Arabidopsis thaliana: one gene and its partners. The protein of the gene in region 2 purifies or fractionates together with the protein of the main gene of each other region. This does not show direct contact. Each region holds a gene or a part of one and is shown on either strand. Other genes may lie near its edges.

Evidence for each region.
Region 1: the proteins of APP1 (region 2) and AT5G16880 fractionate together in Arabidopsis thaliana (co-fractionation; one large-scale study listed by BioGRID). This does not show direct contact.
Region 3: the proteins of APP1 (region 2) and MUR1 fractionate together in Arabidopsis thaliana (co-fractionation; one large-scale study listed by BioGRID). This does not show direct contact.
Region 4: the proteins of APP1 (region 2) and GMD1 fractionate together in Arabidopsis thaliana (co-fractionation; one large-scale study listed by BioGRID). This does not show direct contact.

Annotation. Positions count from the first base shown.
Region 1 is NC_003076.8:5,544,274-5,552,009, forward strand, and holds AT5G16880 (Target of Myb protein 1), read left to right. Parts: upstream 1-4,643; 5' UTR 4,644-4,838; exon of another isoform or gene 4,839-5,364; 5' UTR 5,365-5,384; coding exon 5,385-5,903; intron 5,904-6,189; coding exon 6,190-6,453; intron 6,454-6,560; coding exon 6,561-7,001; 3' UTR 7,002-7,236; downstream 7,237-7,736. Other genes in the region: AT5G16860 (Tetratricopeptide repeat (TPR)-like superfamily protein), read left to right, coding at 1-2,113; AT5G16870 (Peptidyl-tRNA hydrolase II (PTH2) family protein), read right to left, coding at 2,702-2,751, 3,123-3,149, 3,317-3,386, 3,645-3,714, 3,793-3,852, 3,966-4,024, 4,096-4,269; AT5G16890 (Exostosin family protein), read left to right, coding at 7,391-7,736. UniProt on the Arabidopsis thaliana protein: Might contribute to the loading of the ESCRT machinery.
Region 2 is NC_003075.7:17,322,896-17,331,985, forward strand, and holds APP1 (aminopeptidase P1), read left to right. Parts: upstream 1-3,721; 5' UTR 3,722-3,792; coding exon 3,793-3,885; intron 3,886-4,024; coding exon 4,025-4,088; intron 4,089-4,187; coding exon 4,188-4,327; intron 4,328-4,416; coding exon 4,417-4,701; intron 4,702-4,779; coding exon 4,780-5,175; intron 5,176-5,259; coding exon 5,260-5,346; intron 5,347-5,431; coding exon 5,432-5,496; intron 5,497-5,604; coding exon 5,605-5,671; intron 5,672-5,747; coding exon 5,748-5,882; intron 5,883-5,982; coding exon 5,983-6,063; intron 6,064-6,160; coding exon 6,161-6,215; intron 6,216-6,310; coding exon 6,311-6,415; intron 6,416-6,544; coding exon 6,545-6,616; intron 6,617-6,704; coding exon 6,705-6,829; intron 6,830-6,916; coding exon 6,917-7,066; coding exon of another isoform or gene 7,067-7,084; exon of another isoform or gene 7,085-7,319; coding exon of another isoform or gene 7,320-7,449; coding exon 7,450-7,488; downstream 7,489-9,090. Other genes in the region: AT4G36750 (Quinone reductase family protein), read left to right, coding at 1,747-2,339, 3,092-3,320; AT4G36770 (UDP-Glycosyltransferase superfamily protein), read right to left, coding at 7,322-8,695. UniProt on the Arabidopsis thaliana protein: Catalyzes the removal of a penultimate prolyl residue from the N-termini of peptides, such as Arg-Pro-Pro. Aminopeptidase that binds to the auxin transport inhibitor N-1-naphthylphthalamic acid (NPA).
Region 3 is NC_003074.8:19,005,450-19,012,482, reverse strand, and holds MUR1 (NAD(P)-binding Rossmann-fold superfamily protein), read left to right. Parts: upstream 1-3,758; 5' UTR 3,759-4,129; coding exon 4,130-5,251; 3' UTR 5,252-5,490; downstream 5,491-7,033. Other genes in the region: AT3G51171 (F-box and associated interaction domains-containing protein), read right to left, coding at 857-1,627; AT3G51150 (ATP binding microtubule motor family protein), read right to left, coding at 5,974-6,301, 6,390-6,715, 6,822-7,033. UniProt on the Arabidopsis thaliana protein: Catalyzes the conversion of GDP-D-mannose to GDP-4-dehydro-6-deoxy-D-mannose.
Region 4 is NC_003076.8:26,472,504-26,479,125, forward strand, and holds GMD1 (GDP-D-mannose 4,6-dehydratase 1), read left to right. Parts: upstream 1-3,662; 5' UTR 3,663-3,930; coding exon 3,931-5,016; coding exon of another isoform or gene 5,017-5,128; 3' UTR 5,129-5,251; downstream 5,252-6,622. Other genes in the region: AT5G66270 (Zinc finger C-x8-C-x5-C-x3-H type family protein), read right to left, coding at 1,004-2,033, 2,113-2,237, 2,327-2,461, 3,004-3,063; AT5G66290 (uncharacterized protein), read right to left, coding at 4,793-5,128, 5,462-5,613, 5,704-5,815, 6,190-6,278, 6,546-6,622. UniProt on the Arabidopsis thaliana protein: Catalyzes the conversion of GDP-D-mannose to GDP-4-dehydro-6-deoxy-D-mannose.

The DNA of each region.
Region 1 (7,736 bases), on a different chromosome or scaffold from region 2:
ATCTGCTCACGCGCTTTCTCTGGTAACTGGATTTATCTCCAATGTCTTTGTTGGGAATGCGCTTGTTGCTATGTATTCCCGTTGTCGTTCATTGAGTGATGCACGGAAGGTGTTCGACGAAATGTCTGTTTGGGATGTTGTATCGTGGAACTCTATAATAGAAAGTTATGCAAAGTTAGGCAAACCTAAGGTGGCGCTTGAAATGTTTAGCAGGATGACCAATGAATTCGGATGTAGACCTGATAATATTACCCTTGTGAATGTTCTTCCTCCTTGTGCTTCCCTAGGAACTCATTCACTAGGGAAGCAATTGCATTGTTTTGCAGTCACAAGTGAGATGATACAGAATATGTTTGTAGGGAATTGCTTGGTGGATATGTATGCAAAGTGTGGGATGATGGATGAGGCAAACACGGTGTTTTCGAACATGTCAGTGAAGGACGTAGTATCTTGGAATGCTATGGTTGCTGGGTATTCACAGATTGGAAGGTTTGAAGATGCTGTTAGGTTATTTGAGAAGATGCAGGAAGAGAAAATAAAAATGGATGTTGTTACTTGGAGTGCTGCTATTTCAGGGTATGCTCAACGGGGACTTGGATATGAAGCTTTGGGTGTGTGTAGGCAGATGTTGTCTTCTGGGATAAAACCAAATGAAGTCACGCTTATTTCGGTTCTTTCGGGTTGTGCTTCTGTTGGAGCATTGATGCATGGTAAAGAGATTCATTGTTATGCCATCAAATATCCCATAGACTTGCGTAAGAACGGTCATGGTGATGAGAATATGGTAATCAATCAACTGATTGACATGTACGCTAAGTGCAAAAAGGTTGATACTGCACGTGCTATGTTTGATTCACTTTCCCCCAAGGAAAGGGATGTTGTGACTTGGACTGTGATGATAGGTGGATACTCCCAGCACGGGGATGCAAATAAAGCTCTCGAACTTTTATCTGAGATGTTTGAGGAAGATTGCCAAACAAGACCAAATGCTTTTACCATATCATGTGCCCTCGTGGCATGTGCCAGTTTGGCTGCACTAAGAATTGGCAAGCAGATTCATGCTTATGCGTTGCGCAACCAGCAGAATGCAGTACCGCTGTTCGTATCAAACTGTCTAATAGACATGTATGCAAAATGTGGAAGCATCAGTGATGCCCGCCTTGTATTTGACAATATGATGGCGAAAAATGAAGTTACTTGGACATCTCTAATGACGGGTTATGGTATGCATGGTTATGGAGAAGAAGCTCTTGGAATCTTTGATGAAATGAGGAGAATAGGTTTTAAGCTTGATGGTGTTACATTACTTGTTGTATTATATGCTTGTAGTCATTCAGGAATGATTGATCAGGGCATGGAGTATTTCAATAGAATGAAAACTGTTTTTGGGGTTAGTCCTGGTCCGGAGCATTATGCATGTTTGGTTGACTTGTTAGGTCGTGCTGGCCGGTTGAATGCAGCTTTGCGTCTCATTGAAGAAATGCCAATGGAGCCTCCTCCTGTGGTATGGGTTGCTTTTCTCAGTTGCTGCAGAATCCACGGAAAAGTTGAACTCGGGGAGTACGCTGCGGAAAAAATAACAGAATTAGCATCTAATCATGATGGATCATATACATTACTCTCAAATTTGTATGCAAATGCAGGGCGTTGGAAAGATGTGACTAGGATCAGATCATTGATGAGACATAAAGGAGTTAAGAAAAGACCTGGTTGTAGTTGGGTTGAAGGAATTAAAGGAACTACTACGTTCTTCGTGGGTGATAAAACTCATCCACACGCTAAGGAAATATACCAGGTCCTCTTAGATCACATGCAACGCATCAAGGACATTGGTTATGTTCCTGAAACAGGCTTTGCTCTTCATGATGTAGACGATGAAGAGAAAGATGATCTTCTTTTCGAGCATAGTGAGAAGTTAGCTCTTGCATATGGTATTCTAACAACTCCGCAAGGTGCTGCTATCAGGATTACTAAGAATTTACGGGTATGTGGTGATTGCCATACAGCATTCACATACATGTCCAGAATCATTGATCATGATATTATATTGAGGGACTCAAGTCGCTTCCATCATTTCAAAAATGGATCGTGTTCATGCAAAGGTTACTGGTGATGATGCTCTCTCTATGCACTCTACCAAACACGGAAGCAACCTGAGGGTTTTGACATGGCTACAGCAGATTTCAGGAACGATCTAAAGGGACAAAGAAAGGGATAATAAGCACTGTGTTAAACACCTCATGTAGATTATATAATTTAAGCAAATTTTGTAGATGAATAGCTTTCTTCTTTATTTTTGGTAGATAATCACACTCCATACCATGGGTTTATCTTCAATAAACAAGATCTGTTGTTACATTTGAAATGTTCATATAGCCAACACTCCCATGAACTGGCATTAGAACAAGCCATTTTCTCAATGTGCCAAAAAAGGCTCGAGCTTTTGATACTTCTAATACAAATCCAGCAAAAAAAGATGATATCACCATTGGTAGAGGGAAATGCTACATGCCCATGAAAAATGGGGAAAATGTTTTAAAATGAATATTTCGTCATCATCAGGAACGAGTATACGTAACAACTACAGATTTCTCACAGGTAACCTCGGGCGAACAGAGAAGGTGGAGTTCATGTCTCTCCTTTCTGCTTGGTCCATCTGAGAGATCAGGTTGAAGAAATGTCATATCGAAATTCGAATCTGCTAAAGAAGCTTTAGTCCACCTGTTACTTCATCAACAACTTCGACTGGTCCTGCAGAAGTAAAATCTATAAGCGTTGGAATGTTGTGTTAAGAAATGCTGATAATATCCGATAAACAAATTCTGCTACAAGAATCTCTAACTCCTGGTCATAGAACGGTGCATATGAATTTGGATACCACGCAGAAAGTATACACCCTCTTCTGACCGAGTCAACTTTTGAGCTTACATTTCATATTTTGGATTCTTATGAACTATAGATTCCATTCAGGGTCAAGGACAAGCACCAAGCAATCAAGAGAAGTCATGAACTAATAAACTAGTACATTTCTCTAGGGTAAGTGTGATTTGCAACTCTCAAACTCATCACTTGTCCATCAGAGTCTTAACTTTCAAACACATATCTTAAAAATAACAACTTACCAAGAATAGCCATAACCGTCCTTGAATCTGGAAAGAACATGACGTATTATTAGATTCACATTTTCGCAGAAAATGATACTTACGAAAGAAGATTGAATCAAGAGAGCTTTCTCCCTGGCAATTAACTAGCAATCATAAAGTTTAAAGCACCAAGGGATTTCAAGTTCAAGAGGGGAGGAACTTATGAAACTCACTTGGGGCAATCTGTGTTCTTCCAGCATCAATGGTGATATGGGTAGGCAGTTTAAGGGATTTAGCTCTTTCCTGACAATTTTGTGAACAGTCAATACAAGATATAAGAAATGGGAAAAATCAAGATAAGCTCTATGATATCTCAAATTCCCCTTAAGTATTCATGTATATGGTCAGAACTCAGAAATTATCAAGAAACTAACATCTGGCAACTCCTGCAAAGCCCGTGAAGATCAATTTGGCAACAGCACTAAAGCTGTGAATCCAAAATATAGTTCAATAAAAAAAATCCACTTTACAGTCTACTACAATTTGTTTTAGTAAACTCACTTGCAATTCTAGCATCTCGTCCTCGTCCTCGATTTTCACAACAACTTTTGGCTGTGCACATTCCTCCCAGCTGCAATAGCAACCTATACTGTTAATTCAATCCATATATTAAGTAACAAATGGAATTGATCATGACTTAGAGGCATACCAGTCCAATGCTTTTGGCGCTCGACGAACAAGCTTCTTGTATAATCCTAAAGTTGCATGACTGCAGAAATGCAGACCAATAAAACGAATCAGAATAAGAACACTCAAATGTAAGAATGATAAACATGAATTAAACACTTAAAATAGTAAAAGAGAGCATGATTAGTTTATCACCTGCATTGAGCTGCAATCTTTCCTTTACCCATTTTAAGATCATTTCTCACCACCAAAACCTGAGTATACAAAACTCAATTCAACAATTTTGTGATTCCATAACAGTAGAGAGAAAAATGTAGCTAACTACCATCTTGAAATCATCGAGAATATCAGCGAGTTTCTCAATCTCGAGTGGACTTTTGGAGGATTGAGTTTTGATATCCTTATCAACAGCAGCAACAACAGGTTTGGAACGGCGAGTGCCAATGCAGTATCCAAGTGCAGCTCCAACAATTAGGGCACTTAACCACGTCAAATCCATTGGCAAGATTCAAATACTTAAATCCTACAGACAACAAAATGATTGAATTTGAGTATCTAAAATTGAATTACCTCAACGTAATCTAGCTCAAGTTTCTACAGTAGAAAGGGAACAATTAAGATTCTCATCAATGGTCTAAAGAAGAGAATCGAAGAAAGCTTACGAGTTCGAGAGAGAGAAACGGCTCCGATGATGAAGTTTTTTTTCCTGAAACCGGCGTGAAGATTTTACTGGCAAGAAAAAAAAAAAAAAACATTTAATGATCGATTATTTTTTGGTTCGTTGGATGAAATTGCGTAACGTGATTGGTTGATATGAAAAAAATAAAAATAAAAAAGCATATCTTTTTGAAAATAATGTTTAGCGTAAAGGAAGGGAAACATAGTCAGGATAAAGTAATTCCCACGACCAAACACTTAAAAAAGGAACGCAGTTTTCTTCTTCTTCAGGATTTGTACGGCGTCAACGGGCATTGACCTTGTCGCAGATTTTCCTCTCTAGTCTCCGTCTTCTATTACCAGATCGAGCTTTGTTCTTCGAGCTTCTCATCTCTTTGTTCAATCTCAAAGGTAGAAATTCGCGTTAATTTACTTGTGATTTCGCTGTTTTTTGGTTACTGTTTCCGTGTTGATCGATCTAGTTCTGGGTTTTTCGATCATATGAAATGTTATTTTCCTTATTAGGGTTTTTGTTGACCAAAACGAATTTTTCTATTTTCTTTCGAATTTTGATCTTCGAATATCGAATTCGGTTTTTCTCAGCAAACCCTAATTACATTCATCCGTAAAAAACTGTTTAATTTCTGGTTAAACCAGTTTCCTTGAGCAAATTTTGTTGGATCGAGAAGAATATTTGTATGATCGAAGAGATCGTATCTGAAAACCTGGTTTAACCGGGTTTGAACCTTTTTGTGTATTTGATTTTGTATGAATCTCTGCAGAATTCGTAGGTGTATATTATTGATTGTTAGTATTTCCTTTCGTGCTCGTTATTGTTTAGTATCATTGAAGGATACTTGAACAAGTTGATGTTTCAGCTGCTTTCTGGTTTGTTCTGTATGTACAATTCCAGGTTCTTGCTGTTTTTCATTTACAGGTTTTTGAGTATCAGCAAAGATGGGTGACAATCTTATGGACAAAGTTACCGCATTTGGTGAGCGCCTGAAGATCGGAGGTTCGGAAGTGAGCAACAAGATCAGTGCTGGTGTGAGCTCAATGAGCTTTAAAGTGAAGGAACTTTTTCAAGGTCCAAACCCAACTGATAAAATAGTCGAAGATGCTACTACTGAGAATCTAGAGGAACCTGACTGGGATATGAATTTGGAAATTTGTGATATGATAAATCAAGAGACAATTAATAGCGTTGAGTTGATCCGTGGTATAAAGAAGAGGATTATGATGAAGCAGCCGAGGATTCAGTACCTTGCCTTGGTTTTGCTCGAGACGTGTGTTAAGAACTGTGAGAAGGCGTTTTCAGAGGTGGCAGCAGAGAGAGTCCTTGATGAAATGGTAAAGCTGATTGATGATCCACAAACAGTTGTTAATAACCGAAACAAAGCTTTGATGCTGATTGAAGCTTGGGGAGAATCAACCAGTGAACTTCGCTACCTACCAGTTTTCGAAGAAACTTATAAGGTAACTATGACCTGGTACCAAATAATTTTACGCTATTAAATTCAACAATACAGTTTCATTTACAATACTTTATTGAAGATACCACTATCTTATGTTGAGTTGAACTGTTTTGGCCAAAGCATATGGGTTTTGAACAAAACAGACAAATGACTATTGTTTCAATGAATTGGCTCAATCGACTAGCTTGTTGCAGGAATTGATTGAAAAATGAAAAGCTGTGAGGTCTGATGTCAGAATTCATTATGATTAGGTCTTTAATGTTTTTATATTTTTTCCTATACTATAGAGCTTAAAAGCAAGAGGTATTCGCTTCCCTGGACGAGACAACGAAAGCTTGGCACCTATTTTCACTCCTGCTCGGTCAACTCCAGCACCAGAACTGAATGCTGATCTTCCTCAGCATGTGCATGAACCTGCACATATCCAGTATGATGTGCCTGTAAGAAGCTTTACTGCTGAGCAGACAAAGGAAGCTTTTGATATAGCAAGAAACAGCATTGAACTTCTTTCCACGGTTCTGTCCTCCTCGCCTCAACATGATGCTTTACAGGTAAATTGACTCGGAATTATTAGGCATCATTTCCTGTAATTCTAATGTAATAATGGATATAACATGGGATATCGGCGATATATTTTCATTATCTCTCTGATTTGCAGGATGACTTAACAACGACACTTGTACAACAATGTCGTCAATCTCAAACCACTGTCCAAAGAATCATTGAAACAGCAGGTGAAAACGAAGCCCTTCTTTTCGAAGCCTTGAATGTGAACGACGAGCTAGTGAAAACGCTGTCTAAGTATGAGGAGATGAACAAACCCTCTGCACCGCTAACCTCACATGAACCAGCCATGATTCCCGTTGCTGAAGAGCCCGATGACTCTCCAATTCATGGAAGAGAAGAATCTCTGGTTAGAAAATCTTCTGGTGTTCGAGGTGGATTCCATGGAGGGGGTGGTAGTGGAGATGACATGATGGATGATCTTGATGAGATGATATTCGGTAAGAAAAACGGCTGTGATTCTTCGACTAATCCAGATCATGACCCAAAAAAGGAGCAGTCCTCATCCAAAAACGACGATCTCATTCGATTCTGAGACGGATACTTTCAGGCGACATAATAAATCTTTTATAATGTATTTGGTGTTTAATTGGTAGTATGAATGAACAGGTTCAATGTAAGTAATCTGTGTTTGGAGATCTCTTTGACTTGTGTGATGGTTTATAAAGGAGATTTGTTATGATGGCACATGAGATTTGAAATACATTCTATTCTAGTTTCTGCTATCAAACACATTTTGACATCTATCCAATTGCTATCGTGCACATTTGAACACAAACTTTGTTTCAATTTAGCGTTTACAGTCGCAGACGCAATCGCGGTTAAGTGAAGCGCATCGTCACTTTCCACATTCATAGTAATATGCAACAACTGAGTAACAGAAATTTGTAATCGAACTCAGATTTCGAAGAAGCAGATCTCACAATGTCTGGAAAACAGCAAAATCATCGTTCTACTTCCTCCAGACCCAGATCCAAAACCCTAATCCTCATCGGCTCTCTCTTCACCGTCTCTCTACTCGTCATCCTCTACACCTCTTCTTCCTCCTCCCGAGCCTCCATCTCCAATCCCAACCCGTCGGACCGACCAGAGACGTCCTTCGTTACCTCGCTTGAGCATTTCTTAATATATAAAGCTCCGAAGCTCTCGTTACCGGTTAGAGACGACACGGTGCGTGGCGAGAGTGATGATGATGTGAGGAAGCTCGATGAGATGGTGTTCGAGAGAGAGAATCGTTGGTTGAACGAAGATCCGGGATATCCTGTTGAAT
Region 2 (9,090 bases):
ACGTGGACGGTCCAAAAATCACTCACGTGGAGTAAAAATTAGATAAACTTTCCATAAATATAAAAACAGTACAATATATTGTCTCTCTTTGCCACTTTCGAGGTCCAACCTGTCTCTGGTTCCTCTACTACATCACATAACACGATTAGAGCTTTAAGCACATGGTTCGCAACTAAACAGATCTTGTCATTAGCTCCTTAGTTTAAGTTTATAAATTTCCATAAATAGTTTTCGTAAACGTGGCATTGCTAATTTGCTATGAACACAAGATTCGTCACCGATGACAGCTATAAAAGAGGAGGCTTTTCTAGATTGCTCTTGGGTTTGGTCCTAGATTCGTGGGGTTTGAGTTTTTAACATATTTTCAAAAGAAAATTCTCTTAATTAGTCTTAATTTATTGCTCTAAGTTTACAATATTCTTTCTATTTTGGTTCTTGCAGCTTTAAGCGCGATCTTGTATTATTTTCATGGTGGTCCAAACTAGTACCTGGCACAACATAGAAGCATATGGTATTATTTAACTAATAATGTTTTTAATCAATCGAAGTATACATACATTAATTTATCGGTTGATATAAAATTATATTTCCTTTTCCAGACATTAACCAATCAGATAAGATCTACATTAGCTCTAACTAACCACAGTATAATAAATACCAAATTTTTAGCATGTTCGATTCAACATTTTAAAGTACTTCTTCTTTAACATTAATCTACCAGTAGCGTTTGAAATTTCAATTACTTATAACCAATAGTTGAAATTTGACTTTTGGTTTAACTATTAACTATTATTCTCCAAAGATATGCTTCGCTTTTCTTCTAATTGTAACATTATGATTGATAATTTTCATGCAACTCCTTTTCTCTAGATCGTAGGTAGGAGGATATTAGGTTAATTTGACTACGCTAGAGATTTAAATTAGTACGCTTTCGAACAAGTCAAAAGACACCATCGGGTTAGCCACTAAGAAAGCAATCATCATATACATCAATTAATTATAATACTACTTATATACCTGTACTATATACACTCATGCATAAAAAGTAAAAACGATTCTCTCTTTATCAAATTTAGATTCTGGATCGTTAAAAAGTAGTAAAAAATGAGAAAACTTTTACAAGATAAATTTGATGAGTCACCCTCATCATATTATAGTTAGAGGCTAATAATTTATAAATAATGTCAAAACAATTTTCTCTATGTACATATTATTACGGAGCGATTACATATATCATTCACAACTTTAGTCATTTTGTTAACCCTAATATAATGTGATATCAAAACGGAATATTAATAACGTTATACATTACAATTTTTGTAATAAATTTTGATTTTAATCACTAATCAGTTACTTGTTGCCATTATATTGATCGGGGATCCCTTATTGATAGGCCCAATATGAATGAGCTCAGTTATATTTTGGGTTTTTTCTCATAGCATAAATGGCCCAATGAAAGCCTATTAAGTGATCGAAGGTCAGACGTTGGACTCCTTGTATGAAACCAACAGACTAGGCCCAAATTATCAACTCAAAATTGACCGTAACATATACGGCGCCGTTTTTGTAGACCTGAGTGTGATAAAGTGAGCTGTTAAATCTTCACTTAACCCCATTTTTAATCACGAAATTAGAGTGGTGATTAAAAATACAACTAAAGTTGTTTCAAGTGATTGTTTTCATTTATTTAAATTTTAAATTAATCCAACTTATCGTTGACGGAAAATTTGGGAGAGAATATTCTCGATGGGGAAAGGAGGAGGTTGTGTTCCGAGCAAGAAGAAGAAGCCGGCCACCACCGGCGATGGTCCCGGAATCGATGATGATAACGACGCTACTAATGCTCCGATCCAAATTGACGATGATCAAACCACCATTGACGGCGATCGAACAACGGCGACGAATACTGGAGGAACAACAACACCAGCGATTACTACTACGGCTGCTAAGATCTCGTCACCGCTCAAGATCTTCGTCGTGTTCTATTCGATGTACGGACATGTGGAGAGCTTAGCGAAGAGGATGAAAAAGGGAGTGGATAGCGTCGAAGGAGTGGAGGCGACGTTGTACAGAGTTCCGGAGACGCTTTCGCAGGAGGTTGTTGAGCAGATGAAGGCGCCGGTTAAGGATTTGGAGATTCCGGAGATTACGGCGGCGGAATTGACGGCGGCTGATGGATTTCTGTTTGGATTTCCGACTAGGTATGGTTGTATGGCTGCGCAGATGAAGGCGTTTTTTGATTCGACGGGATCATTGTGGAAGGAGCAGAGTCTTGCTGGTAAGCCTGCTGGATTCTTTGTGAGCACTGGCACTCAAGGAGGTGGCCAAGAGACCACTGCGTAAGCTTTTGCTTCTTTCTTATACTCTTTAGTACCATTTGCATTGGTTCTAAAGTATATTAGTTGAATTTGGAGTACAAGTATTGAATTGCTATAATCACAGAGTCACTATGTGAAATAAATGCAACCTTGAATTTGATGTATATAGGTGGTTGCTAAAACCTGAAAGGTTGTTGTGGTCAGGACTTTGTCTAGTACTTTAGAGGAAACTTGTCAGAGATGGCTATCATTCTGGTGAATTGCTTGCTTGATCTTTAATTGCTTTCTTAACTACACCATTGACCATTTCAAGTCCAATCTGGTCACCATTGAATAGTACCCTGGTCTCTCTTTTGGTACGATAGGCTTGCACTTATGCTACGCTTATGTTAGCTCTAGTAAGGGGAGATCTTTAGAACATGTAAAACTGGATTATTTTAGATTCTCACTTTCTCATCACCCAAAGTACCAATTCTATAGGCATGAGTGTTGCCTCCGATAATTTGCATGTGTTTAAGCTCTGAGATAGATTCCTCAATGTATGTGGACTCTCTTTAGTCATCATTTGCACTTAGATATTTGTCTGTTTTACTTCAGCTGATTCACTCGGTTGCTGTGATAGTTTGCGAATATAGAGAAGCATAACAATGCGGAATCTTAAAGCTTTTGCGTATTTCTCCAAGTGTGCAATGTGGATATTTTTATTGCCATCGTTTCCACATTAAAGCTCAGAAACACTTGCTGATTTCCATCTCGTGTGTGTTCTGTTGCAGATGGACAGCAATCACACAGCTTGTGCACCATGGGATGCTATTTGTACCAATAGGCTACACATTTGGAGCTGGAATGTTCAAGATGGACTCGATACGTGGAGGCTCTCCTTATGGAGCAGGTGTGTTCGCTGGTGATGGGTCAAGAGAAGCAACAGAAACAGAATTGGCTCTTGCTGAACATCAAGGAAACTACATGGCTGCAATAGTCAAAAGACTTGCTCAACCTTAAAACAAAAACAAAAATTGCTTCCTCTATTTGTCTCTTTTCATTCAATTCCTCCTCCTGCTAAATAATCATAAAAAAAAAAATCTTCCTTTCTTTTCTCAATTCCATCGAAATTTCTTTCTTTTCTTTATGAGTGTTTTCAGTTTCGCCATTAATGGTTAGTGTGTACATGTTTCTTTATATTATTTGTCTCTTATTTATTCCTTGTTGTAAAATAAAAACAAAATTTCATTACGTGTTCTTTCATTGGAGTTGTTGATTGGATATTTTATCAAAAACTTATAATTTCACAAATCGTTAAAGTGTAGGAAAAAAAAATAATTAGTTGCGTCAGCCATTAGGATTCCTTGGAACACGTAAAGTTTACTAACATAAAACTGTGATATCTGTACTTTTTTATATCTATCTGCTGCTGCATCTGTGTTCTGTTCGTCCTTGAAGCAGTCAAATTCTTCTCTGAACTCCAAACATCGCCATGTCCGAGATTCTCTCTTCGTTGAGGTCACTAATGGCCTCTCACTCTCCTCCTCTTGATGCTTTGGTTGTTCCTTCCGAAGACTATCACCAGGTTTGATTTATTTTCAATTGAATTACCCTTTTTTGATTCATGATCCGATCTCAGATTACTTGATTATACGTCTACTATTACTTAATCATGTATTGTTCATTGATTTGAGTGAAAGTTTCGATTTTTAAATTGTATGTAGAGCGAGTATGTTTCTGCACGAGACAAACGCCGTGAGTTCGTGTCTGGATTCAGTGGAAGTGCAGGTCTGTTTCTATTTTCTATTGTTCTGGATTCAAATATTGTTAGAATTGAATCGTTGATCGAGAGTGAATTGAATTTGATCGGCGATTATAAATATATAGGTTTGGCACTTATCACGAAGAAGGAAGCAAGACTTTGGACAGATGGTCGATACTTCTTGCAAGCATTGCAACAGCTTAGCGATGAGTGGACACTAATGCGGATGGGAGAAGATCCTCTTGTTGAAGTTTGGATGTCTGATGTTAGTCCTCAACTAATCTTTTGATCAATCCATAAATTTTGTAACTTTGAGATGTGTTCTTTGATTTAGCTTATGGTTTAACAATGTAGAATCTACCTGAAGAGGCAAATATAGGTGTTGATTCATGGTGTGTCTCGGTAGACACTGCGAATAGATGGGGGAAATCGTTTGCCAAGAAGAATCAGAAACTAATCACCACAACTACTGATCTTGTGGATGAAGTTTGGAAGAGTCGTCCACCTTCTGAGATGAGTCCGGTTGTTGTTCATCCTTTGGAGTTTGCTGGCCGTTCTGTTTCCCATAAATTCGAAGATTTGAGGGCAAAGCTTAAGCAAGAGGGTGCTCGTGGTTTGGTCATCGCTGCTCTTGATGAGGTGTGTTTTCGTAGTAAAAAGATCTCTCTTTTTCTCAGTTCAGCTTTGGAATGTATTTTGATTGGGGGTTTGATGCAGGTTGCTTGGCTATATAATATCCGTGGAACTGATGTTGCTTATTGTCCCGTTGTTCATGCGTTTGCAATCCTTACCACCGACTCTGCGTTTCTCTATGTTGACAAAAAGAAAGTGTCTGATGAGGCAAACTCTTATTTCAATGGGCTCGGTGTGGAAGTCCGGGAATACACAGATGTGATCTCAGATGTGGCCTTGCTTGCTTCGGATCGACTTATTTCTTCATTTGCCTCTAAAACTGTCCAACATGAGGCTGCAAAGGATATGGAGATTGATTCTGACCAGCCTGATCGGTTATGGGTGGATCCTGCTTCGTGCTGCTATGCACTTTACTCCAAATTGGATGCTGAGAAGGTCCTTCTGCAACCATCCCCTATATCCCTCTCAAAAGCCTTGAAGGTAATAAAGAATGATTTTTGAAACGAGTGATCTCTTTCGACGTGTTTTAGTTTATTCATACATGCTTATTCTCACTTATGTTAGAACCCGGTTGAGCTCGAAGGGATCAAGAATGCACATGTTCGTGATGGTGCTGCTGTTGTCCAGTACCTTGTTTGGCTCGACAATCAGGTACTGAATAAATGAAAATTTTGTTTCTTGAACACTACTACTATATTGATGATTGATTATGTCACTCAACATTGTGAAACCATAGATGCAGGAGCTCTATGGAGCATCTGGATACTTCTTGGAAGCAGAGGCAAGCAAAAAGAAACCATCGTAAGCTTCTTCTTTCTTCTTTGTTTTGTTTTTCCCGATTTTGCAAACCATTTTTCCATGATTCATGACGCAATGAGTTTTTCTTCTGCAAAAAACAAAACAATACAGAGAAACCTCTAAGCTTACTGAAGTGACTGTGAGCGATAAGCTGGAAAGTCTTCGAGCTTCAAAAGAGGTAATGTTTACATATAACATATTAAACTTTTGTCTTTCCATGAAAGAGATGAATCACATTTCTCGTGTGGTTGCAGCATTTTAGAGGTTTAAGCTTTCCTACTATATCATCGGTTGGTTCAAACGCTGCTGTTATTCATTATTCACCAGAGCCAGAAGCTTGTGCCGAGATGGACCCCGACAAAATTTACTTATGTGATTCAGGAGCACAGGTAAATATCACATGATTGAGTGTATACTATAAGCTTACCTTGTATTTATCAAAGTCTTTGCTCTATAATACAATTTCGTTGTTGTTGTCTTTCTGCAAAGTATCTCGATGGAACAACTGATATAACCCGAACGGTTCACTTTGGAAAACCTTCAGCTCATGAAAAGGAATGCTATACTGCGGTATGTACTTATTGATGATAACCTTTTGAATATTACATTCTTATTTATTTGGAATAAGCATATTTGCTGATATATGTTCAATGTGCCGCATCCTTAGGTCTTCAAGGGTCATGTTGCACTAGGAAATGCTCGGTTTCCAAAGGGAACAAACGGTAAGTTATGATCTCCTTGAATTTTGTTTCTGTACCAACTTGAGATTTGGCTATTGATCTTTTATATGTTGCATTGGCTATATCTGAATTTACAGGCTATACACTTGATATTCTTGCTCGAGCTCCTTTGTGGAAGTATGGGTTGGATTATCGACATGGTACTGGTCATGGAGTTGGTTCTTACCTTTGTGTTCATGAAGGCAAGTTATGAGATACCTCTTTTTATTCTCTCTTTCTTATAAATATCGAGTCATTGATAATAATGTTTTTGAAATTCTAGATGTCATCAACTAACTTTCTGCGATGATTATGTATGGTTTAATATGTAGGACCTCACCAAGTTAGTTTCAGACCGAGTGCCAGGAATGTACCTCTTCAAGCTACCATGACTGTAACAGATGGTCCGTCTGCAACAAAAACTCGGTAGTTCTCCTGTTCGGGTTAACCTTGATCATATTCTAAAAGCTGTCTATATTCATTTATTTGCAGAACCTGGTTACTATGAAGACGGGAACTTTGGTATTAGGTTGGAGAATGTTCTTGTTGTCAATGACGCTGAGACTGAATTCAATTTTGGCGACAAGGGCTACTTGCAATTCGAGCATATCACTTGGGTACTTACTCGTTGTCTGTTAACTAATACCGTAGTTCTCATATCAACATGCACATCTGAGTAACTCTCGATCTCTCTCTCTCTCCAGGCACCATATCAAGTGAAACTTATCGATCTAGACGAGTTGACACGGGAAGAGATTGACTGGTTAAACACATATCATTCGAAGTGCAAAGACATCTTAGCCCCATTTATGAACCAGACTGAAATGGAATGGCTCAAGAAAGCTACCGAACCTGTAAGTGTATCCGCTTGATCCCCTCCCAGATTTCTCTTAAATAGATGTTTATCAATGGCTCCTTCACTTCTCTCACTAGTAAACCAAAAACATTCAAGTCATACACAGATTATTTTCTTTAGTTTTGCATTCAAAGTTCATGTTTCTGGACCACATGTCTTTATTCATAGCAGATTCTCAGTTGTTGAACCATAAAGAGAACATTATGTTTATCGTTTTGATATTATTAAATTGTCAACTTTTTGCTAATTAGTTTTAGGTGAAGTAAGCAGATGGAATGTGAGTCATGTTGAGAGCTTCTTCTGCTGTCTTCTTCAGTTCCTTAACATTCTTTCTCATCTCTTTTCCTTCTTCTTCATCCATCACTCTCTTCACCATTTCAGCTATCACCTCCTTCTTTACAATCCCATCTGCAACATTAATCTGCAACGCAATCTTTAGCTCCCCAGAAACCATCCTCGCGTTCATCTTCTGCTCTGAGTACAACGGCCAAGCTACCATTGGCACACCATTCACAATACTCTCCAAAACTGAGTTCCATCCGCAGTGAGTCACAAACCCTCCTGTTGACTTGTGTGCCAGAATCTCTTCTTGTGGTGCCCATGTACGGACCACCAAACCGATGTCTTTGGTTCGGTCTAGAAACCCGTTGGGTAAGAAATCGAGAGGTTCTGTCTCATTCTTGGTCTTGTCGAACATTGATGCCGATGGGTCGTCTTCAGCCGGTGGTCTGACTACCCAAACAAATCTGTGGCCAGTCAGCTCCAAACCGTAAGCCAGCTCGTTTGTCTGCTCGAAGGTTAGTGCCCCACCACTCCCAAAAGAAACATAAACCACTGACTCTTTGGGTTGTAAGTCAAGCCAGTCCAGCACGCCATGTTTCAAACCTGGTTCTGCTGGTCTAACCAGCGGTCCAACAGGATAAACCGGCACTCCTCTCATAACCCGACCGAGATTCTCTGGATCCAAGAAAGACCCGATGGTCACTTGCTCCAGACTGTGCCACGTATTCACAAACACCCCATCTGCGGTTATCACCTCATCCCCAATACGCTGAGACTCAGCGAGTTCCCGAATATATTTTCTCGGATCTTGAGCCCGCTCAAACTTAACCGGGCTGCATCCGGGTATAAGCAATGCTCCTATGCTACTCAACTGCTTATACAACTCCTGTTTGTCAAGACTCGCCATATAAACCGTAAAAGCTAGAAACCAAGCACTGGTAGTAACCAGAACATGTTTTCTCATGATCCCAAGCTCCTTAGCCACCTCTAAAGCTTCCGTGCCCAACAAGTCAACTACGAAAACCCTAGGCCGCGGTTCTAACTCCATGACTGAAGACTTGATCTCTGGTAATGCCTTCCTCATCATCTCTGCTAGTTTAGTCAATAGTGAACCACTCAGATCTTGACCCGAAACATCGAGTGGAATAAACCTGATCACAAATTTTGGATCTTCTTCCATCAACGTTTTTCCAATTAGGGATTTCGAACGTGAGACATCGTCTGTGACTAGGAAGACAGTGACACGGTCGAACCCGTGGTGGTTCAGGAGATGTTTACCGAGTTCTAAGATGGGTACGGCATGTCCCATGCCCGGACTAGCCACTAGAGCTCCGTGAAGTTCCATGGTCCTCAGAGTTTTTTTAGTGATATGCTTTCTTTAATTGGTGGAATGAGAATGTGTTTGGTGATTGGACGCAGTTGGGGTTGAATATATAGAGAAGAATTACGAGATTATTAAGATTGCAGTTATCGAAATGGACGAACATCTCACAGCAATAAATCATTATAACGGAGTGGATATAGTAACATATTTACCATTAGTTAAACCCCAAACTAAACATTCAAATACATTAATTGAACTGTAATATGATTAAATACTAGTAATAAGTGGTAAGATGTTTTTTTGTTCACTAATGTAACGTTGTACAAAGACCTAACATATAGTAGTTGTGTTTGAGCCGTCGTTTGTTTTGCGTGTTACAATGATGTTTGGATGAGATGAGCCACGCATAGAATGAT
Region 3 (7,033 bases), on a different chromosome or scaffold from region 2:
GCACTTTGATTTAGGCTTCGCATTGGAAGAGTTGACGAATATTCCGGTTGGTAGGAGACGGAGATATCATGACGATGTGACGATAATGGTAATCACTCTAAGTAACGATCAACGCAAAGGCTTCTACGACTACGATCGTGTGATTTTGATTATGATGGCGACAAATGTTGGATTGGTAAAACTGTAATGAGTCATACTGATTTCTTTTAGACTTTGGAACTGATCACTATTTTGCTGGGTATTATTTCAGTGCACAGTACATATATTATATCATTGTAGTGGTCGTAGAGCCTAGATTTCATCCGTTTGTCAAAGCTTTAGTCACATGTTCTGTTATTTTTTTGGGCATTTTGGGTGTTTATCCGGTTTGGTTTGTTGTTTTGGATTGTAAGTTGTAACATTGACTGAACCGGTTTTGTCAATTGGTTTAAACTACTAGTGAAATAAAATAAATGTTGATTTGAGAGCTTTAATAAATAAAGCATCTTATTATTATATTCAGAACTTTTACATTAAAGGAAGGGGGATAAAATTGGGAGCATAAACACAGCTATAACAACAGAAAACCATGGTGTCAATTACAAACTTCTTGAGCAAATCTCCCCTGACAATATAGATGCAAGCCGCATAAGTGTTCTCGTCAGCACAATAAATGATGAAGGTGGTCTTGTCATAGATGAAGTAACTAATGCCATAACACTCGATAAATAAGTTTGGCAAGTTATTTGGTAGCAACGTCAACAAGTGAATCCACACAACTTCGTCTGATCCATTGTTGTTACTAGTATCAATCTTATTCTTCGTAACCCAAATCTCAACCTTCCTTGTCTTATAACATTGCTTTAACAAGGATAACCTATCTCCCCTGAAAACTTACAAGTAAATCGAAAGCATCAAACTTCCGACAAGGAAGAAGACAAAAGGGTTTGCATATCTCCCTAGAGAAATCAAAACATTGGATGAGAAAGTCATCAGTGTTGGGAATAGGAGAAAGCCAATAGAGATTTCCGTTCAAAGACACACTGAATCGTGTAACATCGGTTAGGAACCAGTCCTTGTTCGATATTTCAATAAACTTGAACGCGTGAGAGGCACAGTCGTAGATCGCAACTCTCTGGTGGTATACGTAAGAGCTCCCATCTTCAGGGCGACACATTAAATACCCCAAGATTTTGTAAACCTTTCCGTCTCTAGTATTATCGTATCCTAAGCCACAGACATTGAAACCTTTATCCTCGTACTCGATCCATTTAACCTGTTTCAACCACGGATTCCAAAAAGCTGTCCCCTTAGGACTAGCCCAAGAGTTACAAAACAAGAACCCATCGCAAGCAGTGATGGTTATGTAAGCAAATTTCCAGTCACGGTAAGGGATACCAGAGGAGTCTAGCACACGTAACTTAATCGTTGGATCAACGCCGTCGAGACCGATGATCTCTATCGAATAAATATTGGAATCGGTCATGAAGATGAACTGAGGACAAGCACGAGCGAAGTGGTTTTTGATGAAACTCTTTTCATCGAAAAGATAATTCCATCGTTTGCAAACGGATCTGAATCGAACAAGAGATTGGGCTGCAAGTCGAGACAGTATATCTTCCTCTAGCTCCCATGGAAGCGGAACCATTACCTCTGGTTATTTTTTGGGGCGTCAACGAGATCTTCTTCTCTTTGCAGTACTTTAGGAGAAGAGCCATATTATTATATATTTTATACCCCACTAGAAAAGTGACACAGTTTTGTTGTCATTATTATTGGATTAAAGGATATTGATTAACTTTAGATTATGTAGTAAAAAAATAAGCAAATAATACCATTATTGGACAATGATTATTGGACAATTGGTCAGAAAATCTTAAGAGAATTATGATTTTTTTTTTTAAGTGCCATTATCATTTCTGTGTTTATTATTAAGAAGCCCGAAACTTTATAGAGTTTTAAAAAAACTTTAATAACTCTTTTAGGACTAAGAAGAACCCTTCTTAACTAGTTTCACACATCATCATCTTAAAATGTAAAACGAAATGGGGAATACGTCGAATGTATCCTATCAGTATCTCTTGAACTTCGTGGGCCACAATTCTCAAGGACGCCCAAGTAATCTCATCCATAAGGCCCATCACTAAGTCTTTGCAATCTAAGTTGAATTCAAACCTTTGTAAGCCCAATTTTTTAATGTTCTTTCCTTCAGAGAATAGCCAACAAATAAGATAATTGCCAAAAACAAATTGCGCTCACCGTGAGGCTTGAGCATGTATAACCAAATTGCAACCCTTTGTTTCACACCCTCAATTGTTTTCTCAATTGCCTATTGCACCATTGCCCGAATAGACTCTTCCTAGTACTTGAACAAGTTGAAGAACTATCACATTCCCATCTCTTCGAACGACCTTTATAATCTTCTTTGCCTTTACACCACAATTCGTCAAGTTTTGTAAACTTAAGAAGAGACTTTGGTTTAATTGAGTTGTGTTATTTACTTGGGATACGTTTCCCTTATATACATGTATATACCTATGTGTGTACATCAATATTCTCTAAACCTTATCTTTAGAGATACTAAACACATCTAAACAAAATTCATATCTATCTAGCTCGACATATTCACATCTATCTCGATAACACTCCCCTCAAGTTGGTGTGTGTAAATTTAAAACACCCAACTTGGAGAAAAGATACTCTAAAACTGGAACTACCCAATGCTTTAGTAAAAAGATCAGCCACTTGATCGGGTTTTTTGTATAGATAAAAAAACCCTAGGAATGTTTTTTCCTCTTTATCACGGTGGTCTAAAGTTTTCTTTCTGTCTTCAAGTTCATTAGTCCAATATTATAAGAGATGACAACAAAGGTTTATCAACCTCAACACAAGTTGTAGCCAAAGTGAGTCAAGTGACCAAACACCATAATTAACGTTGAAAATCATGGTTGTTGAGCAATTCAGTTTTGGTTTCCGTGTTGCATCCTCTAGATTGAGATTGTAGTTTAGCTTGGAGAAATCCACTAATGCTAGAATATTCGTTCGATGGATAGTAATACGGGCCACATTTTGATGCTTGTCGAACATATGAAATAATTAACTTCTTTAATTAGTGTCTGATCGAATATAATTCTTGGTAAGACTAAGTTGGTATACCTAAGTTCCGGATGCATAAGATGGTCCAACGCATGGTTTATAATTTTCACTTGTCTCAAGTCTCAACGCTTTTTTGTTGTGGTCAAATGATCACTTTGCTTGGTTGTCGAAAGAATAACAGGCAAAGATAAATAATATATAAAAGCATATCTTGACAAACCAATCAATTATTTGTGACAGAAAGAAGAAAAATAAATGAAAATGATTGAAGATTTGTAAAAGGAAAACAACAAAGGTGATTTGAAGCATAAGATTCCTAAAACAAATCGTGGAGATTACATATTGTCCACCACTCGAACACAACTCAAGAGACTAAATATATATGTTAGTATGTTTCGGCATTGAGCCAAGTTATACTCTTATCATTTGCTTCATTTTTTTAGTAAATGGTGAGTTTCATTTCTGTCTTTTTTTTCAATCCAATTCTCTCAATTTTTTCAGTTGAGTACAAAATAGTAATTGCTTCTACAAAAAATTACTAATATTTTTAATGTATCAAATTTGTAACTTTTTAATTAATTTTTGACTACACTAAATGTATATTAAATGCTTTGTTTGACTACTTTTCACTCTAATTGTTTTTGCAATTATTGTCTTATAAACTTTCAAATACTTTTCACTATTTTTGTTTGGACAGTTCATAAAATGATTTGAAAATCTTAATATGTTTGTTTTTGTGGAAAGTTTGCAAATGATCCAAGAAAATTCTATAGTACACCATTGATGAGTTTGACCACAAAATAAGTAAATCATTAACGTGTTATACATAAACAAGGAAAATATCCAATCAATAGTCAATTAAAAAAAACTTAAAGACCAACAAAGATTACCAAACTACCCTTATCCTGAAATTGACTAAAATACCCCTCCGTCTTCAACCTCTCTGACCCTATTTAAATCAGCTAAAACTCTAACAGCCCAATTCAACACGGATTTTCAACACAGAGCTGACGTTAGCATTTGTCTCTGAAATCCCAGATCCGAAAACCCAACAATGGCGTCAGAGAACAACGGATCCAGATCCGATTCCGAATCCATCACCGCTCCCAAAGCTGATTCCACCGTCGTTGAACCGAGGAAGATAGCTCTGATCACCGGAATCACCGGCCAGGACGGATCATACCTGACGGAGTTCCTTCTCGGAAAAGGCTACGAAGTTCATGGTCTGATCCGTCGATCATCGAATTTCAACACCCAGCGAATCAACCATATCTACATCGATCCACACAATGTCAACAAAGCTCTGATGAAACTCCACTACGCCGATCTCACCGACGCTTCCTCTCTCCGTCGTTGGATCGATGTGATCAAACCTGACGAAGTTTATAACCTAGCTGCTCAATCTCACGTCGCTGTCTCCTTCGAGATCCCTGATTACACAGCCGATGTAGTCGCAACCGGTGCTCTCCGTCTCCTTGAAGCCGTCAGATCTCACACCATCGACAGTGGCCGTACCGTCAAGTATTACCAAGCCGGATCTTCGGAGATGTTTGGATCAACTCCTCCTCCACAATCGGAGACGACGCCGTTTCACCCCAGATCTCCTTACGCAGCTTCCAAATGCGCTGCTCATTGGTACACAGTGAATTACAGAGAGGCGTACGGTCTCTTCGCTTGTAACGGAATCTTGTTCAATCACGAGTCACCTCGCCGTGGTGAGAATTTCGTGACGAGGAAGATCACAAGAGCATTGGGAAGGATCAAGGTTGGTTTGCAGACGAAGCTATTCCTTGGGAATTTGCAAGCGTCAAGAGATTGGGGATTTGCAGGAGATTATGTGGAAGCAATGTGGTTGATGTTGCAGCAAGAGAAGCCAGATGATTACGTTGTGGCAACAGAGGAAGGACACACAGTGGAAGAGTTTCTTGATGTGTCATTTGGGTATTTGGGACTCAATTGGAAAGATTATGTTGAGATTGACCAGAGGTACTTTAGGCCTGCTGAAGTAGATAACCTTCAAGGAGATGCAAGCAAGGCAAAGGAAGTGTTGGGGTGGAAACCACAAGTAGGGTTTGAGAAGCTTGTGAAGATGATGGTTGATGAAGATCTTGAGCTTGCTAAGAGGGAGAAAGTGCTTGTTGATGCTGGATACATGGATGCTAAGCAGCAACCTTGATTTGATCAATTATACAAAGATGGAGTTTCTTACATTTATCTGCTTTTATAGAGTTTTAAATTTCGTTTTTTTTTCTTTCTCTTTTTGTTGCTTTGGTGGTTGTTTGTTGTCTTTTTATGTTTTAGTTTCTTTGTTGCTTTTTAAGTTATCTAAATTGTTTCCCTCCAATGAGTTGAGGATGAAAGCGCAGTGAATTTTGAATGAAGGAGCAAAAAGAATCATATACTACAGTTCTTCAATTCATGAATCTTTCAAAATGACTTCAATTCACCCTGAATTTGGCTAATGTACACAAACATAAACATGGTTCAGATTCAGATATCACTGGGATTTTAAGGCAAAGAGCAGGTTCAAGGTTGAGGCATTTGAGAGAGAGCGATTTGCATGTGAAGCATTCTTAGGTCAATAAAAATGTGACACACAAGTAAACTGCATGAAAAGATTTCAAACTCACCGGAAGAGAAACACAAGAGCTTTTCTTATTGAGATGTCGGGTTATGCTAACGACTTTAGAGTATCACCTGACTCTAAACAGTTAAACGCACAAACATATCATCTATGATTTTTGCGATTTGCCATTTTAAAATTTTACATTTGAGACTGCTCAATCTCAGTCTCAGACCCAAATCAAATTTAGATTTGTGAATGTACTTCTCACAGAAGCCACACCACTTTTAATTTAGTGCTCAGGAATGAATCGCTTGGATTTTTGTCCTTTATAATTACAAAATAGAGAGCGACAAAACGCTGCGTTTCCAAAGGCTAGATTTCTTGGCACGGGGTCTAAGTGAGAAGTTGAGGCCAAACATTTCCTTGGATGCCAAATCCATGTCCACGAACCCCATGAGCTTTCCCACAACTGAGGCGCTCTCTCGGACATGATCCATATCTTTGCTCTCTGACCAGAGACGATGTGCCAGTTGGAGCCGTCTGTGCTTTGTATTCAGCCCAATACCCCATCTCAAGAACACGTTCTCTCTCTCCTCTTTCGTCAGTTTCTTCTGCATCAGCTGACTCAGCTTGTACCTCTCCCTGTTCAACGCCCTCAGGCTGTTTTGTTTCATGGCCCAAACAGTTAAATAACCGAATACATTCACCGTCAAAGAAATTTAAGGTGTTTTTGGGTGAATATATATACCTGGACATTGATGTAAGAGTGCGTCCATTTTCAATAGCTTTGTTATTGTGGGTAAAGGTTTCTCTGATGTACTTGAGCCTACGGAGTTCGACCTCCATGTACAAGCAATCTTTCTGATCTCCTCTGAAGAGAAGGAAGAAGTAACTTCTGTGTGACAAGGAAACGTTGCAAGCATGCCATAGCTCTATTATCTCCATCTCGAGTCTTTTGAACTCCAACGGCCAGTTCAATGGCATGGTTAAATAGTCTTGTATTGGGTCAACCGCAGCGTCCTTGAAACTCTTTGACGATCTTAGAGCCAAGAATTTTTGCTCTATCTCCTCCATCTGCCATGATAGAGGTGGTTCTCAAAATAATGACGATATCTAAAGGTCGTACCAAGTATAGGTAAACGAAAAGCAAGCTCTGCTTGACCAAGTTAGGAAAACTAACCGATAGGTGAATGATTCGCTTGTCCCTCTGAGGAACAGTCTCTTCACCTTCGTCTTGGCTGATTAAAGCTCTACCACTTGTCTGGCGTGCATACACATGAGATTTAGAGGTAGAAACCTGTGATCCATTCGGTGATGACTTTATCATATTAACACCATCTAAACCAGCTGGCATTCTTTGGGTGTGGTTGAAGTCTTTCTCGAACCAAGTTG
Region 4 (6,622 bases), on a different chromosome or scaffold from region 2:
ATTTATAGAAGTAAACGTCTTCTACATCTCAAAAATTTCGGACACTTGGCTCCCAAAGTATGATATCATCATGATATTAATATTGGTATCGTATGAGCGGTGACGTAATTGGTGTAGCAACGATAAAATGTTCTTAACAATTGATATTGACTAAAAGTATATACTATTTAAACCACCATCCAATCATTCATATCGCGTTAAGAAAAAACTTGACATAACCGTTTCAGTTTATCGTTATTCCTAAACCACATTACACAACGAGTTTTGGATAAACTCGAAGTCTTTTATATATATTATATATTCATTTATATATTTGGTAACACCAATCACAAAATTATATTATTGGTATAACTATTTAGCAAAATAGAACAGACAAGAAATTTTGAGTTTTAGTTGAGCACAGGTGTAGGGATCACATGTCGGGTGTTCTTTATGTGAGCTTTTTGTGTCCTTCTTCATACAGATGATACAATTATAACCAAATGTACCTTTTTCATACAAATGATTATACTACCCTAAGTCTTTGTTTTCGCTAGATTAGTTCAACTCATTAATGACATAATCAACATTCAACAAAATAGACTAAGCGGTTATGTTTCATTGTTTCTAATTTCACTTTCTTTTTTATTTAATGGAATTAATATCTTCGGTGTTGTTATTCCAGAGATTTAAAAATTTCAATACATTTTTAAAATTATGGTAGAAAAAGAAATTGAACTCCAGTGATATCATTAACTAATTTTATGGATTGTAATAATCCGTCTTTTTCTCCGGCAACAAAATTGACCAACTTCTCAAAACTCTTGGTCCAAGTACTAAAATGATAACCTTGTAGATGGCCAAAAGAAATGTTACGGCAACGGGTGGACCCAAAAAAAAAAAACATGGATGACTGACTAACTTTGGGAAACTTGTTAAACAAGTTATCAGAATTTGGATGAAGCTATTTACCAATAATTTCAGACATGCTTGGTGTTAAATTTTGAGTCATATCGTAGCTGTATTACGATCCAAACTTGAGTCTCTTAGCTCTGGGAAAGTGAGGAGGTGCAACATCAGTCCATAACCTTTTAGAACTGTCGTGAAGATACAAGCAACTCTCGCCCATCCGACACCCCTTGGGCCTGTTAAAATACATGCACGGTTTCTGAATCCTAACCTTTACGATTTTCTTATGATCAACTCTTCCTTTGTAATTGTTAGTTTCAGTTGTTGCCGGTTTGACTGCCCCATGTTCCCTAATGAGGTTCTTGAAGTAGTCTAGATCTTTCACGGGTTTTGCAGAAACCTGATCATCCCGGTTTGTGTTACCATTACGGATTTGAGGATCTGTTTCAGTTCGCGCTGACTCCGGTACCTTATTCATATTCCAAGAGCTGCAAGGGAAAAGGAGTTGGGTCTTTTGTTCTGAGACTACAACATCATCCCCTGTGCTTGGTTTCAAGGGAGCAGCTGTGTAAGAATCCTCAACTTTGATCCCAGAAGACAATGGATAGTTGTGAACAACCGGGGTGGGTTTCTGGAGGGTAAGGTTCATTGAGAGAGCACTGGACATGGGCTGATTGGGTTTGGGGAGTGGAGGATCTGTAGCACTGGACTGAACCGAAACAGGTACATTATGTGGCGCAACATTTCCAGGCATGGGAGGTGGGTTTCTGTCCATGGTTGTGGAGGTGACATGTTGAGGAGCAAGTCTAGGTTCGGTGATGTCAGTGTTTAGACTGTTATTTGCAGTTTCAAGTGGTTTACCTTTCATGCCATTGATCAAGTTCTCAACGATTTTGGGGTCACTGAGTAACTTGACAAGTAAATCAGGATCGACCTGAGAGCCCTGTTCCTTAGTTAAGGCAGACAAAGCTGCAGAAGCAAGAAGACTTAACTCTGGTCCAAGTCCAGAAACAGCTGCAGGAGCTTCGAAACTGTGGGAAGATTCAGCAGCAGCGTCACGTTCATCTTCAACGTGAGTGAGAGGGATATTAGGAGTTTTGCCGTCGTCATAGTGTTCTTCTTCAACAGCTAGTGTGAGCGAAGGACTAGAAGAAAACAGAGAGAATTTGATAAGTGGAAAAACATGACATGGCACAAAAGCAAATCCTCAAATGATAAAATTACCGAGAAGGGATCACAGAGCGATGTGGATAGAAAGCTTCCAAGACTTTAGAAATCCTAAGATTCTCAGAACGAGTCTCGATGCTTTTTCCACCACTCCCAACAAGCAAAGCATCATCGAGGACAAACTATTTTGGCGGCGAATAAAGAAAGACAGTGAGAGTTATATAAAAACAAGAAGGGTCACATTGTTTGCAATTCAAGAAAAGAATTATACCAATGGTGGGCGTTTCCATTTGATCCGAGGAATGTGTGAGATGATTCGCTTCGTTGCATAATCAGTAGCTTCAAAACCAGGTGGAAGATTCGATGCAACTTTAACGGGACAATCATCACTAAGAAACAACTTTACCTGTCCAAATCCTTTACTTAGTTAGTAACCAAATGCGTGTGTACTCAGCAGCCACAAAGTCCTTTTTTTTACATGAGTTATATATATAAGGGGAGTCCTACATGTTTCACTATTTCAGGAGGAACACAATCTTTCTAAAATTAGTGACCACATTGGTACATTGTTCTTCTTTTTTTTTGGGATTTCTTGCTGTTTATGTCCCTACTATGTAAAGAAGATTTCATAACATCAAGTCATCAACATTCAGGCACACAAAATTAATTAATTAGATTCGCCATTACCAGAAAAAAAAAAAAAAAAAACGTCATCTTATTAAAGTTTGTTGCTTTGACGGTGACTTATGGAAAAGGTTTTATCTTTGTGTAAATTTAAAATTAAGAATAATTAATCAAAAGCAATCAATCAAAATCAATTCGTTTGTTAACTGTCCGATTCCAACTTTGATAACTGGTAAGTCCGAACCGAACAATTACAAATTTGCAGGTAAGAGAAGAATAAGGAACAAGATTGGGTCGACGAAGAAGACGACGGGTTGGCTATACCTGACAAAGCATACTATCTGATGCCCACGATACTCTCCCTTTCTTCGTTTTCTTCATCATTACTATTTCTCTTACAAAAATTCAATCGCAAACTCTTTCTAAAGTCTATTCACTAACCACTTTCTCAGATTCTATACGAAACGAGAAATCAGATGTTAGACCAAACTCGACAATGAGAAAGACAGATATGAATAAGAAGAGAGGCGTCGGCGATACGTTTTGTGTTCTGTGGGAGAGATAGAACAGAGAGAGAGAAAACCCTAACCACACTTTTTATGACTTTTTGACTTTCCCAGTGGAGAAAAATAAATACTATCAAATAGAGAGGCGCTGATTGGCTCCCATTCCTAATCGTTTTTTTTATTACTTTCACCGATTTAATTTCCACCACTCATATTCTTTTAATATTCACAATTACTCCTTTTAACGTTACGTGTTTTTTATTTTTACGCTTTCATTTTTGAATTTTGAATCTAATAAATAGGACATGCAAGTTGAGATCGTGTGGGGAAAAAAAAAAATCAATGGTTATTATAAGGCCGAGTATAATATAACTAAATGGGTTAACTTAAGGCAAATTACTAAAGTCCACAATGATGTTTAGTCTGAACGCAACCCGTAGAGCTATATATATATATAAGCCCAATAAAATTAGCAGTAATTTAAAGCCCATCTTGGCCCAATAGATAGTAAAATATTCGTAATCGGTCAACGCTTGCCGGCGATTTGCCATACAAGTACAACTTTACGTAGCCATACAGATTCACCTTTAAAGTTTACAGAAGTAACCCTCTCTCTCTGTCTTCTTCGTCCTTGGGCTTTATTATATATAAGTCATCGAATCAGTTGACGCTAAAATCAAAAACAGAAAGCGCGACGTGCCCAATCATTTCTTCTGATCCGATCTGACTCTGCACCCACCCATCAATGGCCTCCAGATCTCTCAATGGCGATTCCGACATTGTGAAGCCGAGGAAGATTGCACTGGTCACCGGAATCACTGGCCAAGATGGATCTTACCTGACCGAGTTCCTGCTCGAGAAAGGCTACGAAGTTCACGGCCTCATCCGACGATCCTCCAATTTTAACACTCAGCGACTCAACCATATCTACGTTGATCCCCACAACGTCAACAAAGCTCTCATGAAGCTCCACTACGGTGATCTCTCTGATGCCTCCTCCCTCCGCCGTTGGCTCGACGTCATCAAGCCTGACGAGGTCTACAACCTTGCTGCTCAGTCCCACGTTGCCGTCTCCTTCGAGATCCCTGATTACACTGCTGACGTTGTCGCTACTGGAGCTCTTCGTCTCCTGGAGGCTGTCAGATCTCACAACATTGACAATGGCCGCGCCATCAAGTACTACCAGGCTGGCTCTTCGGAGATGTTCGGGTCAACTCCTCCTCCGCAGTCAGAGACCACGCCCTTCCATCCGAGATCTCCCTACGCTGCGTCCAAATGCGCTGCTCATTGGTACACAGTCAATTACCGAGAGGCCTACGGTCTGTACGCCTGCAACGGAATCCTCTTCAACCACGAGTCACCTCGCAGAGGCGAGAACTTCGTGACTCGGAAAATCACTCGGGCCTTGGGAAGGATCAAGGTCGGATTGCAGACCAAGCTCTTCCTGGGAAATATACAGGCTTCAAGAGACTGGGGTTTCGCAGGAGACTACGTGGAAGCAATGTGGCTGATGCTGCAGCAGGAGAAACCAGATGACTATGTGGTTGCAACTGAGGAATCACACACCGTCAAGGAGTTTCTGGACGTGTCTTTCGGGTACGTGGGGCTCAACTGGAAAGACCATGTCGAGATCGACAAAAGGTACTTCCGGCCCACGGAGGTCGACAATCTGAAAGGAGACGCAAGCAAGGCAAAGGAAATGTTGGGGTGGAAGCCAAAAGTAGGGTTCGAGAAGCTGGTGAAGATGATGGTGGACGAAGACCTTGAGCTGGCCAAGAGGGAGAAAGTGCTCGCCGACGCTGGTTACATGGACGCTCAGCAGCAACCTTGATATGGGGAGGTGGCAAAGAAGAGTAATCATTATCTGCTTTTTCATTGAAATGTAATTTTGTTTCATTTGTTGTTGTTCTCTTTCGTTGTTTCAAGTTGTTCAACTCCATACACTGCCAATCGTCCATTGTGGATTTTGTATCAAAAGGCAAACAAAGCATATTTATTACATATGAATTTTCCCCTTATCAGAACAATGGTTTCTTACTGGTCACAAGCGATTGTACAAATCGAAAAGCCTAAAGATGAAATGACAAAAGAAAACAATGATTTGTAACAAAAAGATCAATCAATAGCATCATCATGCATCTATGCAAAATCAGAGGAGATCAGAAAGTATGCTGTAGAACTACACGTATTCGATTCACCAATCTAACTACCATTAAGAGTATTTACTCTTATGCCTCGGGTTTAGAAGACAGAGTTGTAGTAGTATTTATACTGACCGAATCGGGAGATGCAAGAGAAAAAGGCGCCACTGTGGACCTCAGAGATTCAGGTCCCTCAGAATTAATTCTCTTACATAATGTATCGCAGTTGCTGATCACCTCTGTCAATCTTCCTTTAAGCTCCCCGAGCTCCACCTGCAAACCATGAACTAGAAATATGTTCCACATATATAAGATCAGTGGATAATGCAGTCCAGTGGCAAATCCATCTCTATCTTAATCTACGCTACAATAATTACCTTGAGATAAATGCTGGGCAGTTGTCCTCATTGCAGAAACAGAGTGGTTAAACCTCTGTAAAAGTTTAGTCGCCAAAGCATCTGCGACTTCTATCTTGTTTTCTATATCTTCCTAAAGACATGATGCAACATATTAAAATTCATTTCCCTTTAATTGCTACACCTAAAGACATCATAGTGATGCAAACCAAGATTTCAGACCAATGAACACTTGTAATTTTCAGTTTCAATTCACTAAACCATAAGAGCAAAAGAAAGTAGAACATCTATACTTGATTTTTTTTCTTTTTTTTCCAAAAAGAAAACATTCCTTTGGCACCACACTTGCAAACCAAAAGCTCAAAAAACTTACACTATCTTAGTGTCTGTTTCAATTTAAGAGAACCCTTAGGAGTAGCCTGAAGTCTAGTTTAAGTTCTCGGCTAATAGCAAAAATTTCTTAAAGACTGCACTCATATACATACAAAAAAAGGCAGAAAGAGAGACCTGTCTCTTGGTAATTTCTTGAGCTTTGTTCTCTTGCCATTCTCGGTAAATGGAGAAGAGCTCTACAAGTATTTGAGGATCAACCGTATCTGGGAAACAGTTGACAACAAAGGCAAAAAATTAGAGTTGAAAAAAGGAGACTTGTAGATGAATGAAAATATCTTTTCATTATGAAGCTTTAACAGTAAACGAATACATTAGCAAAAACAAAAAAAGTCCAAAGATATGTCTTCTTCTATGAATAAATTGTCTTCCACACAACAAACGATCAATCATTTTGAACATGTTACATAAAAACAGCAAGTCCTCTTCCTAAACTCAGTTGAGCAAACTAATCAGATAGGTATAAAACTCACTGGAAGAGGAACTGGATAGAGCTTTTCTCACTAAGATATCTGTTAAGCTACTTTCCGTGGGAGGAGACTTCAATATT